Linked DNA regions of Coturnix japonica. The protein of the gene in region 1 purifies or fractionates together with the protein of each later gene. This does not show direct contact. Links are inferred from orthologs where the notes say so. Each region holds a gene or a part of one and is shown in the gene's direction. Other genes may lie near its edges. The genes, in order: GNB5 and GNG2.

Region 1 (2,488 bases):
GATGTACAGGAGAAGTTTGGACAAGCAAGCTCTGTACTCAGTTTATACAAAGCTGCCTGGTTTTGTTCACATCCTTGTTAGCTTCCAGAGGAGTCCCAGTTGTAGTGGACAGAAAGAACAGAAGGAAGGAATCCAAGGAGCTGTTTTCTGTGATACCTGCTAGGCTGCAGGCCTTCCCCATCACATTCTTTCAATGAAAAGTAGTGGCCATTGACTCCAGTCTTTACTGTGACACATACGTTGTTTCTGTTTTGATCTTAGTGCCGTTTATACGACCTTCGCGCAGACAGAGAAGTAGCAATTTATTCCAAGGAGAGCATCATTTTTGGAGCATCCAGTGTGGATTTCTCTCTCAGTGGTGAGAACTGAACTTGGGAGGTGGTGGTATTAGTTTGGTATGGTGGCAGGCTGTCAAATGTTGTCAGTTTAACTTGACAAAGCATTGGAAAACCAATATTAAATCCCAAAACCTTCCTCTGTAAATTAAAATTGCTCTTTATGTCGCTCATCTGACCTTGCAGCAATGAAAAGTATTCTCCTGGTCATGCCGAAAGCAGAAAATATTTTGCTATTGACTACAGCCGGGCTAGAATTTCACAATGATTATTAAAAATGCTTCAAAGGAAACATGAAATATAACTTGACTATAACGCACACTTACATAAATAGTTTATTAAAGGATAATAAATGATTAATAGAAGCTCAAAGTATGTTAAAAGAGCACGATGGCAGAGCCATTTTTCACTGCAGATCCAGAGATGTGAGCTTGAGTCTTCTCTGCCTTCTCCCAGCCCTGCTCCAGGGGGCTCCTGTAGGGCTGAGCATGGGGTGAGCTGCCCTGCTCCCAGCACACTGACAGATGGAGATGGCTCTGTGCCGGTCATGGGCACCACTGCTGGTCCCACTGGGGACAAAGAATCACTAATTTTTCTCCTGATTGTTCAGCTGTTTGTATTCAACTCCTGCAAAGTCAGAGCAAAGAAATATTGGCGTTTGTTGGCCTTCAACTAATTAATATTCTAATCATTTTAGTATTTAGCGGGGATAACAGCATGGTAGTTTGTGTGGGTCAGCATGGGAAAGCTGGGCTGCTGCCTGCTTCCCCTTGCTGCAGTAATGATGTGTTGCCCACTTAAGAATTCATTTTTTGAAATGTAATTCTCTTTGTAGGCCGCCTGCTGTTTGCAGGGTATAACGATTACACCATAAATGTCTGGGATGTGCTGAAAGGATCCCGTGTATCTATTCTGTTTGGACATGAGAACCGTGTCAGCACCCTGCGGGTCTCTCCTGATGGGACGGCGTTCTGCTCGGGGTCCTGGGACCACACTCTGCGAGTAAGCACTGGGGGCACCTTGCTGCTTGGTTTGTGTTAATAGAAAGGGGCACGGACAGCAATTAGGACAGGAACATTGACTCTCCAGGTTCTTTTCACTATCTAAGGTGGGGTTATAAGAAGGGGACAGACTCTTTAGCAGTATCTGTTGTGATAGGACAAGGGAAAATGGTTTCAAACTAAAAGACAGAAGATGTAGATTGGATACAAGGAAGACGTTTTTACAGTAAGGGCAGTGAGGCACTGGCACAGGTTTCCCAGAGATGTGGCGGTGCCCCACTCCTGGAGTGACACCCAAGGTCAGTCTGGAGGAGCTCTGAGCACCTGATGGAGCTGTAGGTGTCCCTGTTCAGTGCAGGGGAGTTGGACTGGATGGCCTTTAAAGGTCCCTTCCAACTCAAGTGGTTCTGTGACAACTAACAAAGCTATAAAATCCTGCAGCGTAAAGTGTGAGCTGAAAATTCAGATGGAAACATTGCCTCACAGGGCCTGCAGAGCTGTTGAAGCCAAGGAAATTTTGAAGTTGCTTCTTAAATGGTATCACGGCTGCTGGTATCCTGTGCCACTAACCTGACTGCCTTGGCAATCTTTAATTCAGTATCTGATAGAACAGTGAGGGTCATAAATGACTGTTCAACTCTCTTTCTGCAGATCTGGGCTTAACATGAGATCCTGTGTGCAGAGTCCAATGAAGACCGATGACCTGGACTGCAAAAACAGCATAAAGAAGGCTCCCTGCAAATGAGATATTCGCTACTCTACAAAGGAGTGACACCGAACCCACAGATCAGCACAACTAGGTAGAACATAACCTGCTCAAACACATAGCAAACATGAACTCGTGGTAAAAGTTAATGGTTCTGATTCTGTTTTGAAAGTACCATATTTTATTATAGAACTAGTTTAGTTAATTATAAATGGACTTTTCTCTGAAGTCGTCTGTACCACAGAAATGAGTATTTCAGTGCACATTATGTGTTTATTTGCATGATTTGAGTTCCTTTTGAGAGCAAAAAAAAATCGAGATTCCTGATTTTATCAGGTTTTAGCATCAGGTTTTGGGAACATTCCATAGCGCTGCATTGAATTTTGGTGTTGAAAAGTGGGAAGAAAAGCAACTCTGATGCTTTGTGATGTCATTGTGGCTGACTG
Region 2 (4,484 bases), on another chromosome or scaffold:
CTTCCACAAGTTCTTGCTGTCACAGAGCAGCTCACATTCCGTCTCCAGTTGCCTCCATTCCAGACTTGGCATCTCCTGTCATCATTCTGGCAGCCCGGCTGGCTGAGGATTTGAGATCAGCAGCTTGACGACGTGCAAATGCCACCTCCCTGGCAGGAGGGATGGCAATAACTGCGTGCATCAAACCCAGCCGAGTGGGTCGGCGTGGAACTGGTTACAACCACAATCAGCCATAGGGAAAAGCTGATTCCAAGTTAAAAAAAAATAATGATTCCCACCCAACATCCAACTTAGAAGCGCTTGGAATGTGAACCATTTGGAAGCCAAGAGAAAAGAAACGCACTTTAAAAAGGCAAAAACGCCGCGGCAGTGCTAGTTTAGCTTTGCTGCTTGGGTGCTTCTCATTGGGGTCTCCTGCTGGGGGGCACCATTGGGTGCTGCTGGGGGCAGCCCCAGCCTTGACCAGTGGTTATTCAACCTCAGCAATCAGCCATGGGGCATCACTGTGGAAATGGAGAAGCCCGTTTTCCCGCAGCTCATTGCCTCTCCTTCCAGGAAATGTGCATGGGGAGACTATGTGAAACCCACTACCCTGTTATGGGTTTGATAAAGAGGGTTATGGATTAATAATGGGGGTTATGGGTTTAATAACAGGGGTTATGGGTTAATAACGGGGGTTGTGGGTTTAACAAGAGAGCTCATCAAGTGCATCCCAAAACTCAGCCCGAGGCACCTGAGGTGAACCCACATCCAGGGTGTTGGAGGTCATTTTGGGGTGTGGATGGAGGGAATGAATGATCTTCTAAAGAAGCCGACCAGCTCCCCAAACCCTAAAACAGATCCTAATCCTAAAATCTGGGAATCAGGGCTTAAATACTAAAAAAAAGTATGTAAAATAAGGAATTGCTGGAGGTACAAGTAGGGGCTGGTGTGGGACTTAAGGGGTTGGAAAGGGCTTGGGGGGGCTGAGGAGCCCTCGGAGGGGGGAAAGAGGGGATCCAGGGAGGTGTGGGGGCAATAGAGGGAAGGGCTGGAGGTTGGTGGGGTGCAGAATGTGGTGTGATGGGGTTTCAAAAGGGGGTGATGGCAGGGAAAGGGATGTGATAAGGTGTGGGTGTGTGATAAGGTGCAGGGGTGTGTCAGGGACGAAGGGGGTGTGAGGGGATGCAGGGAGTGTTATGGGGATGCAGGAAGGTGGGATGGGTTGCAGGGGTGGTTTGGGGGAAGGATGTGGTTGTGTGATGGGGCTGCAGGGAGCGGGGTGGGCGCACAGTGGGGTTGGTGTGGGGCAGGGGGAGGGAGGTGGGGCAGGAGGCTGGAGAAGGGCAGGCCCAGGGCTGCAGAAAACGGGGATCGGGGAGGAGAGGGGGCTCGGGGTGAGGAGAAGGGGAGGGGACAGGAGGGAGAGCAGCAGCAGCGGGAGGAGGAGGAGGAGGAGGAGGAAGTCGGGGCCGAGCCGCTTCCTGTAGGCAGAGGGATGAGCGCAGACAAAGCTGGGTGGGGACTCGCCGCTCCGGGCTGCTGCTGACCGCCCCTCTGCCTCCAGCCCGCATCCCTTCTCCATCCATCCCTCCATCCATCCCTCCGTCCGTCCGTCCGACCGCCGCCGCCCCGCGGGGAGAGCCGGGGCAGCACCGCCCGCAGGTACGGGGAGAGCCGGGGGGGCGATGGGAGCGGGGCTGGGGGGCGCCGGGCGCGCACGAACAGCGCGCATCGGGGCGATCCCATGGCAGCAGCATCCCTCGGGCCCCAAAGCGCTCCCTGCTTATTACCCCTCCAAAGGCGATCCTGTCACCCCAGCCCCCGGCTTGCATCACCCCGTCACTGCCTTTGCTGCTTACCCCATGGGGACCCCGACACCCTGCACCGCCCATAGCCCCAACACCAATGGGTGCTGCAGGGATGGTGCCTGCCCCGGCGCTCAGCCCCCAGCAAAGCTCTACGGGGGCTGATCCTCACTTAATCAACTGATTTGCCATCACATGAACGGCTTTTTCTCGGGATGAATGAGACGTAGTGTTCTCCTTTTTATTTTTTCTCTCCCTCTCCCACCCCCTGCAAAGGGCTTTCCCTGCCCCAAATCTCTCTTGCTGGGATGGATCTGCCCCCACCGTGGCTTAGGGAGGGGGTACTTGGGGCGCCCCATCCCCACCTGCTGCCCCACCCCACCACCCCCGTTCTCTCAATGGCTGGGATTTCAATGGGAGTTCGGATTTTCCCCGTGGTGGCCATGCAGCAGGAAGCAGCACAGCTCTGAGAGGTCTAAGGAAAAGTAACCATGGCAAAGGCACCGTGTGCCCAGGCAGCTCCCTGCTGTGCCCAGGGACTGGGGAATCATAGAATGGAATCATAAAAATGGTCCGAGGTTCCGCGTTCCAGAGGGAGAGGAATCCAGCCCCAAACTTCAGCCTTCGTGCAGGAAAATGGATTTATAATGAAGGAAAAACTTGAATTTTAGCTCCCCACTTATTGCTAATGAGTCCCTGACAAACTCAGGGTGTGCTGCCCCAATGGTAATGGGGTGGGAATGTAGGGCAGCATTATCCCCTGTCATTGTACCCTTGTGTGCAGTGCTTGTGGGTTTGCCCTATTGTTTGTTTCCCACTGGACAGACCCCAGATCCCCATTGCACTGCCCAGGGCCGGGGCATGTCCCCTTGGCACCAGGCTGGGCCCAAGCACGGGGGATTTTTCCTTCTAACTGGATTTCCCTCCATGCAGCTGGAGCCTGCGATGCTAATCCTCTTTTCTGCCATATGGCCTCTGGCTGGATTGAAATATGACTCAATTAATTATTGCCAGGAAAGCCCCGGGGTGAAGTCTTTCTCTGGGAGGATGCTCAGAGGTGCTCTGGGCGTTGTTTTCCCACCCCATACCGTGGCCTATGGGCTCAGGCTGTTCCCTTCACACCCATTTTAGGGCTTTTCTTGCCATTTCTATCCCTTTGCTTGCTTACCAGCAGCATGCTGCCAGCTGCCACCTGTGACACAAGCATGGCAATCTCAGTTCCATCTGGATCCCCAGCCCCAGGGGCTGGCATTGTGCTCTTTGGGGTCAGGGTATGGCATCCCAGAGCAATGCGGGTAGAGATGCTGGAGAAACCCAATTGTTGAGGATTGTTGCCCATCCCCAACCCAGCCAACACCTCCACCACCCAACGCTGGAGCTCAGTGCGTGGCGACGTTGCCAACTTGGCACAGCACGGCGCTGCCTTCCATCCAGCCCCACAGATGCACCCGCCTGGATTTTGCTGCTTTGGCCTCAAAACAGCAGCGGCCGAGGCACCACTTCTCCCTTTGAAAACCCGTGAGTCATGGGAGGAGGGAAGGCAGCGCCGCGCACGCAGTTTCCATAGCAATTGGGACTGGAGAGGCGGCACCCAACCCGCAGCCCTACAAATGCTGCCTGGCCCCATCAGCTCTGCTGGGAGGCTATGGAGCCCAATCCCACAGTGGTTCCCACAAGGGGTCATATCTGGGCCTTCCCATCTCCATTTTGGGGTTAGGAATCAGGGAATGGCCGTGGGAAAAGCATCATTTTTGGCATGAGTTGTGTCGGTGCTCAGCAGGACGTCTCCTTGTGCCTGGAGTGGGATCAGAGCGTGTGCTCAGGGCACGCACAAGTGGGAGAGGAGAGCAAAGGAACCGGGCTGTGGGGGTCATTTTCTTGCTTCTCAGCTTCTTTCCTGACTGTTTCATCCCTCTGGGCGGCAGCGGGTGGGATGGCTGGGGAGGCAGCGGGATGCTGCAGCCTGGGCCATGGGGTGCAATGCAGAGTGTCCCCGTGTGAGCTACATGTGCAAAGGATGAGGTCTGAAATAACGCATCTCCTCCATTTCGTGCAGCCAAAATTGTTTTCTCCACATACTGAGTGGGGAAAAAAAAAATAACAAAAAGAAAATAGCCCTGGAATGGCATCGCACCAAACCTTACACCAGACCTTACACCTCCCCACCTTGCCGCGTGTTGGTTACAGCGCTGACAGCTCTTGGGCAGCAGCAGCTGGGTGAGATGCAGGGAGTGGCAGCCACGCTGGGTTTAAAGGGCACCGTGAGGGGCCCCCTCCACCCCCAGCCGTGTGCGTGGGGGCACTGATGCCGGTCTGGCTGTGCTTCAGCTGGGGAAGGAGCAGCACCGCGGTGCCTGTGCATGGTTTGAGGCAGCACACTGTGCTCAGAGGATCAGCTCCTTGAGCTGAGCTGCTGTCTCGATTTAACAGGCTTAGTGCCCTCCTCGCATGGGAAGGAAAGTTAGCTCTGTGCCTTCTGCAATGCTCCCCGGGAGCTGCTCTTCCTGGGTCTGTACGAGAGGTTATAACCCGGCTCCCTGTGCCTTCAGAGCTCATCAAGCATCCTGAGCAATGAATGCCATGCAACACAAGCAATGGGGAAAAATAACCCATCCCAGCACAGGATATTCCCACTGCAGCTCCTGGCAGACCCTGCTGTGCTGCTGCCTCATCCCCTGCACGCTGCCCTGCACCGCT

Evidence for each region.
Region 2: the proteins of GNB5 (region 1) and GNG2 purify together in Homo sapiens (affinity purification with western blotting; 4 studies listed by BioGRID and IntAct, with this or other methods). This does not show direct contact. The link is inferred for Coturnix japonica from reciprocal best matches to the Homo sapiens genes GNB5 and GNG2.

What each region holds. Positions count from the first base shown.
Region 1 is NC_029525.1:7,776,900-7,779,387, forward strand, and holds part of GNB5 (guanine nucleotide-binding protein subunit beta-5), read left to right. Parts: intron 1-261; coding exon 262-358; intron 359-1,170; coding exon 1,171-1,337; intron 1,338-1,987; coding exon 1,988-1,999; 3' UTR 2,000-2,488. UniProt on the Homo sapiens protein: Enhances GTPase-activating protein (GAP) activity of regulator of G protein signaling (RGS) proteins, such as RGS7 and RGS9, hence involved in the termination of the signaling initiated by the G protein coupled receptors (GPCRs) by accelerating the GTP hydrolysis on the G-alpha subunits, thereby promoting their inactivation.
Region 2 is NC_029520.1:52,684,998-52,689,481, forward strand, and holds the start of GNG2 (guanine nucleotide-binding protein G(I)/G(S)/G(O) subunit gamma-2), read left to right. Parts: upstream 1-1,425; 5' UTR 1,426-1,644; intron 1,645-4,484. UniProt on the Homo sapiens protein: Guanine nucleotide-binding proteins (G proteins) are involved as a modulator or transducer in various transmembrane signaling systems.